2 linked regions of the Arabidopsis thaliana genome follow. Each later gene encodes a partner of the first gene's protein in a complex. Each region holds a gene or a part of one and is shown on either strand. Other genes may lie near its edges.

What was found. The genes of interacting proteins can lie anywhere in the genome.
Region 2: AT1G79150 (region 1) and AT2G18220 share a complex: the UniProt entries of both Arabidopsis thaliana proteins name them as parts of the nucleolar complex.

What each region holds. Positions count from the first base shown.
Region 1 is NC_003070.9:29,772,008-29,779,951, forward strand, and holds AT1G79150 (binding protein), read right to left. Parts: upstream 6,010-7,944; 5' UTR 5,868-6,009; coding exon 5,704-5,867; intron 5,563-5,703; coding exon 5,402-5,562; intron 5,306-5,401; coding exon 5,109-5,305; intron 4,837-5,108; coding exon 4,628-4,836; intron 4,509-4,627; coding exon 4,406-4,508; intron 4,322-4,405; coding exon 4,158-4,321; intron 3,981-4,157; coding exon 3,842-3,980; intron 3,604-3,841; coding exon 3,430-3,603; intron 3,273-3,429; coding exon 3,136-3,272; intron 2,011-3,135; coding exon 1,678-2,010; intron 1,595-1,677; coding exon 1,455-1,594; intron 1,363-1,454; coding exon 1,265-1,362; intron 1,183-1,264; coding exon 709-1,182; 3' UTR 503-708; downstream 1-502. Other genes in the region: AT1G79160 (filamentous hemagglutinin transporter), read right to left, coding at 7,855-7,944. UniProt on the Arabidopsis thaliana protein: May be required for synthesis of 60S ribosomal subunits and the transport of pre-ribosomes from the nucleoplasm to the cytoplasm. Also required for initiation of DNA replication.
Region 2 is NC_003071.7:7,926,454-7,932,503, forward strand, and holds AT2G18220 (Noc2p family), read left to right. Parts: upstream 1-1,561; 5' UTR 1,562-1,609; intron 1,610-1,771; 5' UTR 1,772-1,800; coding exon 1,801-1,813; intron 1,814-1,899; coding exon 1,900-2,093; intron 2,094-2,193; coding exon 2,194-2,265; intron 2,266-2,355; coding exon 2,356-2,910; intron 2,911-2,998; coding exon 2,999-3,301; intron 3,302-3,402; coding exon 3,403-3,732; intron 3,733-3,826; coding exon 3,827-4,033; intron 4,034-4,154; coding exon 4,155-4,241; intron 4,242-4,463; coding exon 4,464-4,558; intron 4,559-4,645; coding exon 4,646-4,777; intron 4,778-5,091; coding exon 5,092-5,398; 3' UTR 5,399-5,500; downstream 5,501-6,050. Other genes in the region: PPa2 (pyrophosphorylase 2), read right to left, coding at 5,686-5,728, 5,810-5,891, 5,983-6,050. UniProt on the Arabidopsis thaliana protein: Together with SWA2, probably involved in pre-ribosome export from the nucleus to the cytoplasm.

The sequences.
Region 1 (7,944 bases):
TAATTGATTGAAAAGTTCAGATATATGATGCGATGTGAGTCTTGCGTGGATAATACACTATGAAAAGATGTAAATCCACTATAATGATTACACATATTTTTTATTGAATTTTTGTACTTATTAATTGAAGACCTATGATAATTCGAAAAAAATATAGTATAAAGTAGCAAATATCTTGTAGTAACGACGAGAGACTTATAGTTATAGGTGTATTAAAATGGGGTCTAGAACAAAAGGTCTCAACATGGCCGTATCTTCTTGTACCGTTGTACGGCTGGACTTTTTTTTTTTGTGGGGAACAATTTGCTGTTCACAGCGTACAACATACATTAGCTGAGATCTCCATCTCTATTTTTATAACAAAGTAAACGGTTTGTGGCGAACTGTTAGTGGATTAGAGGATGATTTGCGTATCTTTCAACTCTATGGCACATGTAAGACTACGTTGTTTTGTATAAACGATGGATTTTTATACGATGTTGGTACCACTTTATAAGAATCAGTTCGAATAAATAATCCTGAAAATATACGAGAACATCATAACTTATAAACACAAGTTTTTAGGATTACCAGGGTGGATGTGAATAAAATGAAAAATACTCTTCTTGTTGATTTCACTCTTTAACAAAATTGTACTCGAAAAATTTCATTGAAGCGTTTAATTTAAGCAAAGTATATAACCGTTAAAGCGGGAAAACAAAAAGCCTTTCAAATTTGCTTTTTGGATTTAGGGTTCTTAAGTTTCTTCTTCACCACGTTGTTCTGTTTCTTCAATGGTTTTTTCTCTTCAGACTGCAACAACTCCATTCTCACTCTCTCGTCCTCTTTTATATCCCGAAGAATAGTAAAGTTCTCTTTCAATTTCTTGCTGAGCTTAACCATGTCTATTTCCGGAACATTCTTAGCTTCTTCAGGCAAACTCTCCCGTTTCCGTTTGTTGTTCAATTTCCGAGACTCGTTCTTCGGCTCAAACGATTCCTTTACAAGAGAGAAATCTGCAAAAGCCTGTTGTGGAGTCACTGCAGAAAGAAATGTTTGGCTCTGAGAAGTGTTCATGTTGGAGACTGTTGTGGCCATTGTTGAGATCGCAGGATGATAATGTTTACTCAAGAGACTGAGTTCCCAAAGCACTGTTGCTAAAGCCCCGCTTAGGTTAGGATCTGTTGCATACGGCTGATATTTCTGCAATCGAGAGATTTCGCTAAGCAACAAATCATATTACTAAAGTTAAATCTGTATACGAGGCTAAATATTTGTGACTTACTGCAATTGAACCGGAAACAGAGCCGCCTCCAGCATCGTTCTCTAGAAGGTTTCTGCATTTCACGTTCTTCTGAAGCAGAGTTTTCAAAGTGACTAGCGCTATAAAAGAAAGACAATTGGAGAGACTGAGCGACAGATTTGAGATAAGGGAAATGCGATGTGTAATTCAAAGTATTTGTAATGTTTATTACCAGACATAGATTCGGCACATCCAAAGCATAGCGCGAATGTGGCTAAACGTTTTACAAATGCAGCTGCTTTTTGCATGTCTTGATGTCTGTCGTCGCACAACATTATCTTCAGAGACTCAGCCAAGATTACACCTGAATCTCTGTATCACATCACAAAGTGTTTTAGACTAAACTAGATTTAACTTATGTCGTGGTTAAAAAAGAGGAAAAAGTTATAACAAACCTTCCAGGGCGGTACTCGAGAATGAGGTTGTAAAGTTGGACAAAGAAGTCTTGCAAGTCAACATTCAAGGCATTTAAGTTGCTCCTCATGACTTTGAAGGCGACAAGGCAACACCTAAGGCGTTCAGATACTGTCAACAGTTTTGAGTTTTTCTGCTTTGTGTTGTTGGAGACGCTGCTACTGCTAGAAGCAAGCTTCTTGAGATAGTTCATTAGATCTCCCATGTAGTCCAAGTCCAGTTGTTGGGTGAATTTTGCCAACCCATCCAAGCATGGAGCTAGCAAAGGGTGCGATCCAAAGGCACCCGGATTTGAAGTTGGAATTTCTTCTGTTCTGAAATTTAGTGAAAGTGACGTTGTAAAATAGAATTAAAATAACTGACACAGACATATGACCAGTTAAATAGTTATCTGTGACTGTAAAGCCAACGAGAATTCACACCAAGAATTTTACTGGAACCGATTTTGCAGACGGGGAAATATTCTTTTGAGATTTTGATAAGAACATAAGCATTATTTAATTCCTACTCACGACAACTGAAAACACAATTTAAATTAGCTTTTAAAATATATGAAAACTAGATTTTAACCCGCGGTACACCGCGGAGACAATTTATTTTTTAAAATTAATATATATAAAAATTTGTAAATTATTTTATAGTTTACCATTGTTACTAAGTAACGTCCTGCCAAACCCGTCCTGACAAACCCGTCAACAAAAAAAAACTATTTATTTTATTAATGTTGATCTTATTTATAATATGTTTATGAATCATTGTCAAAATATTTTAGTCGTTGCGGGACGTTGAACCCACACATTTTTCGCCAATTGGTTAATATATGTTCATTCATAAAATTTCGAATCACAAAATATGACGATTTGTTTTTGAGATTTTTTTTAACTCTATATATTAAATAATGATGTTAATTATTTTTGATAGATTAAACTTTTTATAAATTTAAATATTAATAATGTTTTATGAAGTTTAAATATACAAATAATAATATTTAAAAATTAATATTTTTTGCCTTTTAGGTAATGATATAATAACTCTAAAAGCAAAAATTTAGAAGATTTAAATCTGTAAATAAATATTTTTATGCCTAAATAATTAATGTCAGTAGCGTGACATTGTAAATAAGTTCAAATACATGATTTGTTTATTTAAGCAAAAAACGTTTAGTAAGAACAATATTTTTTAAACAAAAAACTTTGTTTTAAAATATTGTTAATAAAATACGTTTATGCTAATTTTAAGGGATTGATGTGAACTTTGTTTGGATTAAATTTGATTGGATTAAATTTGATTGATAATGTGATTGACAATTTAAATTAAAAATTTTAAGTAAAGTTAATTATTTTGGAAAAAATATTTAATGCTAATGGCATTGGGTTGTAAATAAGTCCAACTTTAGGATTTATTTGCTAAAATGGTTGCAAAAATGTATATATAGATACCTTTCGCCAATTGTATACATTGTGTTTCTCAGGATACGGAAATAGGTCTCAAAAACAGCAGAAAGTGTCTCTGTCTGCATCTTTCGCCGCTCCTTAGCATCCGGTTCATAGGTAACTCCTCTGTGATCAGCAGAAACCTAAGAACAAGTAATGAAGAAATATCAATTTATAGCAAACCAATAGTACGACGGGAAATCAATTTTAGATGTTTTGGTCATATAAATGGTTGTCAATGAAAGAGAAAACAAGATTAAAACACCAACAAATCTATGGCACAGAAGGAAAGTAAATTACCTCGTCTCTGATCTTAGACATCATATCTTTCTTTGATTTCTTCCTCTCATTTTCCTGCACTTGATTTTGCTCCTCCTGGGTTTTTCTTTTATTATTTTTCTTATATTTCTTGTTATGTTCATCCTCTTTGTTAGGCTTTCCAATATCCTCATCAAAGCGAATGGACATGAACACCTAAGGATCAATAGAAAAATGGAAGCAAGGGTAAATGAGAACAAACACAGAGATAAGAAATATAACCAGATTGCTCCTCAGTTATTAAGCGCTTGCAATAGTCTTACAAAATGTTTTCCAATGATAATGTGAACTTCGTGATTTAGTTTTTCAAACAGGAGCAATTATAACACCTTTACTCAGTGATTGGTGTGTAAATGTGTGGTTCTTAGAATGTTAAAATAATACCAATGAATACCTCGATAGCATTAGGATGAAGTTGGCAGTTGTGAGCTTTGACATGATCAGCAATCAGGCGTACAGCTTGCACGGTCAGCTCACCACCATGTTTCCCTTCATTTGAGAAAAGATACCTGATAGTAGAGCAACAGAGTCTCCTGCATACCCAAACCGGTGCAAGAAATGAGTTAGATAGGAACGAAATGGATGCAATTGCAGTAAAATGACATGACTATGACACAAGAGATATTAACAGTTCTACTTTACGTTAGATTCCATGGTATATCAGTTAGACATTATTCGTCACTCTGAAAAAGGGTTAAAAGAACCAGGACCTTACGACTTCATCTGGGGAGCTGATATTTCTGACAACAGCAATTAACAGGTTATCACGGTAGTTGAAGTGAGGAACTGCTTCCAGCAATGTACAAAGGCACCGATTGGCAATTTGGTTATATACTGACTGCTTTTCAAATATAATCAACTTCTGCAGATATGACTGTTAAGGACATCAGAAGCAAAGGAAAACGTGTTACAATTATACTCAGAGAAATCAAGAATAATATATAACTGACATGCACACCTTGTAAGCTTTTAATAAAGTCGACTCATAGAACCGGGTTTTCTTCACTTCCTTTGAGATCTTCATCTCGAGCTCCTTTTCTGTAGGAAGTCTAATCCGATAGCTGGCACCACAAAAAAAATAAGAAGAGCTAATTACCAACATAATTAAAGGGGGAGAATGAAGAGAATAATTAGCAAATCAAATGAGGAAAAAAGGTACATAGAAGATTAATAAAATTACCCAGGAATAATATCTTTAAATACGGCCAACAGAGATAACAAGGCAAGTTTCACAATCTTCGTATTCTGATCCTTGCAGATATCTAACATATCCTTCAAAGTTTTTATGTTTGCCTCTGGATCAGAAAGTAGTAGCATTCCCAATTCCGCGATTTTATTTTTCTTATTTTCAAATGACTCTTCAGCAGATAGTTCTTCTTTCACTTCTGCCTGATGAAGGAAGAGAATCATTCACACGTTAAAAAAAAACATGATGAATGGATATGGAAAACACTAAAACGCTCCAAATTACAAATTACAAATACCAATGATTAAACGTTCTTATAAATTCTTTTAATGGAAAGATGTTAAACGATGAAGATGCAGAAAGCTATCAAATATGATGCTCAAAATGAAAAATGATGTCAAAGAACGAACAATGAAATTTTTAGCAACTTATATAATGAACCAAGAAAAAAAGAGAAACTCAAAACAGGCAATACCAGAACAGCGGCTTGGGGAGTTTCTTCTTCCTCTTGTAATATCTCATCAGGCAAATCTTTCTCATGTTTCTTTGCCTCCCTTTTACTCTTTTTAGCTTTTTCTCTTCTTTGAGATTTGTTCAATACATGTTCATCTTCAAGAACATCCTTCTCTGCTTCATCTGTTTCGGCTTCAGCTAGTTTTGACTTCTTTGACTCTGAACCAGTAGCCACAAAACAGAAAAACCTCCACTTAGAATGCTACTCAACTCGAGCCATTAAACAAAAAACACAAGAGTCTTCTCATTTCTCACCTGTTCGATAGTGAAGTTTTCCATCTAAAGTCTTGACAGGGAGCACATCAACAGGATCCACAAGGATCTCGCCATTCCCTTTCTCTTCCTGAAGTGTCTTCCTCTTTGATCGTTCTTCTTCATACTTATCCTCCACTGTCATTACTCTACCACCACATTGCCTAACAACAGCGTAACAAGATATTATCAATGCAGAGATTCAAACTCGATTCGGACATAGCAAGTATTGATTGTGGTAAAATCAACCCTAATACTAAAAATCACCAAATTGCAAAACAATTCGAAAAGAGACGTAAACGCACTTATTGATAGCGGCGGTGTCAATTTGAGAGACGAATTGGGCGTAATCTGTGTTCTCTTTGACATACTTCAAATCCTCGTCGGAAAACTCAATATCCTCTTCGGCTACATCTGGCGGAAGCAGCGGTGGAGGTATAACCTTCTGTTTACGCCTATTTTTGCCCATTATCACCACTGACTCAGAACCAGCAACAAAGAAGAGGCAGTAATGGAATTGGAAAATGAAAACTGTCTGCACACACACACAAGGATATCGAATCGAACAACTTCAAATTAGGGTTTAGGGTTTTTGTGAAGAGGGTGGAAATAATAAAATAGTATAAAAATAAAAACAACATGGGCTAGGCCCATTTATTTATACCGCTGTTTAATTGGGCCAAAAAAGAATCTCTCTATGGGGATTCATATTGGGCCAAAAAATGTGCTGGTCAAACGTTGTCGTACGTGCTTCAATAATGAAAAACATGGACAAATAATGAATTGTTCACATTTTCGGATATACGTATGACTTATAATTACATGTAACTATGAGAAATCACATTTTCATACGATATCGTTTTTCTCGTCTTATTTTGTTTTGGTGGTTTTCCTGAAAAGCACGAGATGAAACAAATATGCCAAAATCAATTAATGGAGAGATGGCAAATAAGTTGACACGTGGAATTTACATTGTTTTCGTAAAGGAAATGACCAAAGTTCATAAATGTAGCAGGAGCATTAATTACAATTTATTAGAGGTCACGATCCCATTAATTGAATTCGTTTCTATTAGGATGAGTTTCTCCATTTCTCTTCTTTTTTTCTTATTTCTTTTTCTATATCATTTTCCTATAATCTGAAATCCACCTAACGAGAAAAAAAATCGTACATCAACTTAGGAGTTTAGGACTAGTTTCCATTGAAGATGAGACTTAGATATTTAAAATATGTTTGTCATATAATTATAGACGTAAACCTAATTTTCGAAACTTGTAACGTACGAAAAATATACACTAGCTAGATTTTTTTTGTTATGGATAAAGATGAATATCAAACCATACAATCTATACGATACGTATCCCATCCGGAGTAATGTATTAATGCCACACACATACAAAACTGTTTAATGCAAAAACTATACTACCTACGAAATATTATTATTTCAGGTCCACCGTTAGTATAAATTCTATCGTAATAAATCTAACTCATCTACTCGTCGGTCGTAGTATAATATCGGAGAAATTACGTCCATGTAATATATGCTCGTCGTGAGTATTTGCATTTCTACATTTCCTTACCTCGTTGACATTTTAAAAAAATACTAATAAGATAAGTTTACTACTACATGTCTACATGCATATCGGATTTTAATAGCCGCGATTTATTACGTTAGTTGCAGACTTGCAGTTATTCGTATAGTATGTGAATATGTGTGCTCTGTTGACCTAAGCATTTGAAGTTAGGTCAGCATAACTTTGAATGACCTTAAAAAGTTAAACCTCACATAAATTACAACATTGAATGTCCTTCAAAAAAATTAAACAGTTGTCACATTTATTTTTGCCTTTTTCTTATAATCAATTTTTGTCCAAACACAGAGATTGAAAATTTATCTTTAATTGGGTTGAGAAACATGTTTGTTGAAGATATCATGCATGCATGCAAACACAACTTCCTCATTTCATTTAGTAATTAGTAGTCATCAATTTCAGGAAATCATAACCACTCAGATAAGAGAGGCATTTGGATACAATTTCAAGCCAAACATTATCAAGGAGTTTTTTAAAATATATAACAAAATTGACAAATAACACTATTAATAATAGTTTTTTTCTTTTCATAAAAAGACAGTGCATTTAGATGGACATATACAATGAATTCAAACTACCTTCCAACCAACCATGGACTACGAGTTTATTCAAAAGTAGAAAATAAGATAATTGTAACATTAATTGTCGTCATTTAATTGACTCATTTATTCCGTGAATTACTATGTTTCTAAATAAAATTCTTGTTGTTGTTCAACTAACGCATTTACAAAAAACACCATTAACATCCTTCTAATCTTCCTTCCTTACCATCAATTTTTTCTTCTTTCTTAAGTTTTACAAAATAAACCCCCTGAATTGTTATCTATCATTTACAAAAATGTTCCAATATAAACTCCAAAACATTCAGATTGATATGTTGAGATCAATCTTAGGCTTCTTCTTCATAGGATTTGTAGGCAAAGGAACAATGGTATCACACCTCGGACATTTCGG
Region 2 (6,050 bases), on another chromosome or scaffold:
AAATTTAAAGGATATGAAATTCGTGATACACACAAATTTATAAATAGCTGTTAACATTTACTGACCAAAATAATATAAGTTATGTGAAAAAGTTTGAAAAATAACACAATATTTTTTTTTGTTCACTAAAATATTATAAATTATGCGAACATTGAGTTTTTTATTTTGCCATTTAAAATGTTCACAGTGGCTAACATGATTGAAATCTTAGTAGTAAGACTCAAAGTTAGTCATTCAACTACCATAGTGAATCTTTTAACCACGAAACCACCATAATCAGTCTTCCTGTAAATAATCACCTAATCGGATGTTGCTACCTAATAAAAAATTATTCATTTAACTATAAAATTTATCTATCACAAAACGAAATTATATATCCGTTTGGGTTTACTAGAGAGGATTAATGATTATATTTTATGATTAAACAAAATTAGCTATCTGTTTGGATTTATAAACGAGTTTATATTTTACAAGTAAATGAGGTTAAATGTCAGTTAAGATTTATAAAAGAATTTAGATTTTATAATTAAACGAGATTAAATATCGGTTTGAGTTTAGAAAAAACGGTTAGATTTAAATTTTATAATTAAACGAGTTTAAATATCGGTTTGAATTTAAAAAAGAGAATTAGAGTTTAGATTTTGTAATCAAACGAGATCATATATCATGTTTGATTTATGAAAAACAATTAGACCATTCACATTGCATAACCTCTCATGTATGTCTTAAAGACTAACCATAGTTAAAATTAAAGACATTTCCTTTTGGATGTCAAAAATATCTTCCTTAAGATATTTTAGACATCTAAAAAATAAAATGTTTTTAATTTTAATCATGGTTAGTCTATTTTTACCATGGTTGGTCTTGGAGACATTAATAAAAGATTATGCAATGTAGATGCTTTTAGTATTTAGAATGGAAGTGAAAAAAAGAATTCATCGTAAAGATGAACTCAAGAATTGTTCGATAATATATGTGTTATTTTCAAAAATACTTTAATTTATAAATAATGAATATTTGATATCTTTTAAGTAAATAAAAAATGTGGTAAAATGAAAATAACTAAACAAAAAAAAACTTGAAATATACAAGGGATTGGGAAATGTCATGCATAAGATACTTTGGGGTTTGATGACATAGATGAATAAAGATTTTGAAGAACACATGCCGGTTAAAGCCTAAATAATTCGGTTAAACACTCGCAAATTGGATTTTTGGTTAAACCAATTGGTAGACGTGTCAAACCTAAACCTTCCATTGCGCTAAGACGTTTCGAAACTCACAAAGATAAACCCTAAAACAATAAACTTTTCCTCAGACATCAGCCTCGGCGACCACGACAACAACTTCATTTTTTCTCGTCGAGTTTTTTTCTGGGAATTGCAGGTAATCTCTCGTTAACGTGCCCCTCTGGTTTCTCAAATTTGGGAACTCTGTTTTTGTTCTGTTCTGGGAAAGTAGAACAATTCGAATTACGGTTCGACCGAAGTCAAACCGGGTTTTGTCCGGTTAAATAAATTGAAAGAAAAAACAAAGGAACACTGTAATAAAAACCCTCTCCTAAAACCCTAATTTCTTCTTCTCTCCGTCTTCCTTCTTGTTGTTCCCGGTGCGATTTCTTTCATTTTGATTTCGATAGTTTATTCTTCTCCTTGTTTTCACTGTTTGTGTGATTGATTCTCTCCATGAATTGATAATTCTTACACTATTGTCTTTTAGCTCGACTCTTAAACTGATTTGTTCTTGTTACCATTGATGGTTTTAATTGCAGGTGGATTTATCAGAGTGTTGTGCTAACAAATGGGTGCCAAAGGTTCGATTTTTATCCAGTTTTTGGATTTATATTGTAATTAGAGCTTAAGGGATTCGAGATTGATAAACACTTTAAATCAAATGTAGATGATAAAAAGCGTGTGAAGAAGTTGAAATCTAAGAAACTAGAAGCTGAGGAAGAGCTCAATAATGTTCAAGAAATCGATGCACATGATATAGTAATGGAGCAGAAGAGCGATAAGAAGCGTGGGAAGAAGGTGAAATCTAAGAAAGCAGAAGCTGAGGAGCATGAAGAAGAGCTTAAGAGGCTTCAAGAAAAGGTGAGTCATCTATGAAACATGTTTGGTTGCGATATTGTAATGATATATTAGTGGAAAGTTGAGTTTTTTTTTTAACTTTACGGATTTTTTTGTTCCGCAGGATCCTGATTTTTTTCAGTATATGAAAGAGCATGATGCAGAGCTTCTAAAGTTTGATGCTACTGAAATTGAGGTGAGTTTTGTTAGTTTGTATATGTTGAGTTTGTGACTCGACTTCCAGTTGTGTTGGAAGCTTTTTGTCTTAGGGATTCACATTTTGTAGGATGATGCTGATGTTGAACCTGATACTGACCTGGAAGACACTGAAAAGGAAGGTGATGATGAAGCAACAAAGATGGAAATTGCAAAGAAAGTGCACGTGCAGAAAACGATTACAGCATCGATGGTTGATGCATGGAGTAAATCAATCGAAGATGAAGCGAAGCTAGGTGGAGTGCGTTCTATCTTGAGAGCTTATAGAACTGCCTGTCACTATGGTGATGATACCGGGGACGATCAATCGACAAAGTTTAGTGTTATGTCAAGTGAGGTGTTTAATAAGATAATGATATATGTTCTGAGTGAAATGGACGGGATTCTTCGTAAGTTGTTAAGGTTTCCTGAAGATACTAGAGGAACAAAAGAGACTATATTGGAGCTCACAAACACTAGGCCTTGGAAAAACTATAATCATTTAGTCAAATCATATCTTGGGAATTCCCTTCATGTTCTGAACCAGATGACCGACACAGAAATGATAACCTTTACTCTGCGCCGCCTAAAGCACTCATCGGTTTTTTTAGCTGCTTTTCCTAGCCTCCTAAGGAAATATATTAAGGTGTGTTGGAGCAAGATAGTATTCTGTTCATGTTTCTTCTTTATGGTCCTTTCTTTGCTCACTTCATTGTTGCTCTTCTGCCATCTAGGTTGCACTTCATTTCTGGGGAACTGGTAGTGGTGCGCTCCCTGTTGTTTCCTTGTTGTTCCTGAGAGATTTGTGCATACGCCTTGGATCTGACTGTGTTGATGACTGTTTCAAGGGAATGTACAAAGCGTATGTGTTGAATTGCCAGTTTGTGAATGCTGATAAATTGAAGCATATTTCGTTTCTTGGTAACTGCTTCATTGAGCTTCTCGGCACAGATATCTCTGCAGCATATCAGCATGCATTTGTCTTCATAAGACAATTGGCAATGATTCTGCGTGAAGCGCTTAACACAAAAACAAAAGTACTTTCTCAATAATCTTCATAAATTGAGTTCTTCTGACAACAATTATGTGTTGAGAAAAGTTGCTGTTAACTCTTATTTACATTTGGTTGTTTTCACAGGAAGCATTTCGAAAAGTGTATCAATGGAAATTCATCCATTGCCTTGAGCTTTGGACTGGAGCTGTTTGTGCCTACAGCTCTCAGTCTGAACTCAGACCAGTTGCTTATCCGCTAGCCCAAATAATAACTGGTGTAGCGCGACTGGTTCCCACGGCTCGCTACACTCCCCTTAGACTAAGATGTGTTCGTATGCTAAACAGGCTTGCTGCTGCGACTGGCACCTTTATACCTGTCTCAATGCTTCTTGTGGACATGTTAGAGATGAAGGAGCTCAACAGACCTCCCACTGGAGGTGTTGGCAAAGGTGTAGACTTACGCACACTACTGAAGGTAAAAACTTGCGTGGTTGGGTCTTTACTAATAGAGTATAGAATGAAACTTTATCCTGCAAACTAACCATTTTGGATATTGGCTCTCTTTTTAGGTAAGTAAACCAGCAGTGAAGACAAGAGCGTTTCAGGAGGCATGTGTTTATACAGTAGTGGAGGAGCTTGTGGAGCATTTGTCTCAGTGGAGTTGTTCCGTTGCTTTCTTTGAACTATCATTTATCCCGACCATAAGGCTGCGTAGCTTTTGCAAATCCACGAAAGCTGAGAGGTTTAGGAAAGAAATGAAGCAACTCATCAGCCAGGTAATAAAGAGAAAAAAAGAGAAATGCGGTTTTACTTTATGTCTCTTGTACTTGCAATAAAAGAACCGACTTTATTGACTTGTGTGTTGATGACTCCTTCAATCTCTCTTTTGCTTTTCAGATTGAAGCTAACTCAGAATTTGTCAACAAAAAGAGAGCTTTGATTAAGTTTCTACCCAATGATCTTGCTGCTGAATCATTCCTTGAGGTTTAGTAACTCATTTCTCTTGATCCATTTGATTTTTTCAATTGTTAGTGATGATAATACAAAACCTATATTTGTTTCTTTCTTCCCGTCTTTGAAACTACTGCTGCATTCTTCGAAAATTTTGTGGGATACCACAAGTTGTTTATGATTACAGAACACATGTTTACTCCAAAATGATTGCAAACATGGTTTCAAATTATTTTTTGGGTCTTCTCTGTTCAGGATGAGAAGAAAGCAGGAAAAACCCCTCTATTGCAATATGCGGAAATTATCCGCCAAAGAGCCCAGCAAAGAAACGAATCGCTGGTGGAATCTGAGTGCGTTACATTCCTCTAAAGTTGATCACTTGTATATTTTTGTTGTATGACTTTGACGGATACTAATAATCCGTTTGGTTTCTCCAGTGTAATTGTGGGAGAGAACTCAGCTGTCTTTGGGAAAAACGCACCAAGCAGTGATGATGAAGATGATGAAGATAGGATGGAAAAGGGTGCTGCAGCTTTCAATTCTTCTTGGTTACCGGGAAGTGACTCCAAGTATGTCTCTCTTTCTCTTAAAATGCACACATATCGGGGTTTCATATGGTATAGCACCGCCAACGGTAGTGTATGGTGCGAGTAGGTTAAAAATTACTTCCCCAAATATCACCAAGTAATATAGATTAGGCCTGGTCGGGTCTATGGTTTTAAGGCCTTCTGTTTATTTCTTAGTACTTTGGACATTTATGGGTGGCTTTATCAACTTAAGAATATAGATAGGATGGGAACCGGGTTGTCTCCTACGCCTATAACGTAGATATTTTATCTGACCGTTGTGATATAACCTAAAACAACAAATGTGTAATTAACAGAGAAAAAGAGCCGGAAGAAGAGAAAACGAAAAAGAAGAAAAGGAAGAGAGGTGGAAAGAGTAAAACAGAGAAGAAGCAGGATGAGCAAGGCTTAGGAGAAGATGACGTTGTGGAGGATTTTGTGTTGAGTTCTGATGAAGAGGAAGAGGATCTGTTTGATATAGGAGGAGACAAAGATGAAGATGATGCAGTAGACGAAATTGCAGATCCTGAGACCAAGACATCTAAGAAGACTAAGGGCACTTATAAGACCTGGCATAAGGCTTACAAAAAGACCAAGAAGAAGAAGGCCCGAGTAGCTTCTTAAGTTTTTTTTGTATCTTCTTCGATTTGTATGAGAGTACTTTTCGGATGTTTGCGAAACAACATTAAACAAAATTTTGGGGAAAAGAAAAGCTAATATTTCAAATTTTATGATTGTACTGGAAATTTTTCATCATCATCAGAAAGCTTTAAGTTCAACAATGTTTTCTGATGAGCATTACGAAATTAAATGCACCAATTGAAATTTTATCTAACATGCATGTAGTATAGAAGGCGGCTTCAGTGATGTCTAAGCAAACCGGGAGGAACGGAAAAGGACTGGTTTCTTCATTAGCGTTGCAGGCCAGCTTTGATGTAAGCTGCGTAAAGATCCCTGCGTTTCAAAACAGTACATTGCTCATTATTAACAAAACAACGTGTAAATAATTTGGTGTTTGGGATAAAACAAACTTACATGGAGTCCTTGATAGCGTCTATGGCAGCTTGAGCGGGAAGGAAAGCTTCAACGTCGACTTTCTTGTTCTCGTTCTTCTTGTCTAAAAACATTGTTTGTTAAGTGAAAACTGAAAACAAATCATAAGCGAAAACAAAATTATACGTTAAATGCAACATGTCTCTGTAGGATACAGTCCTCAAAGAAGCGACGGATTTCAGCTAGACGGTGAGGGGGAAGCTCTTTGATGTCTCTGTAGTGA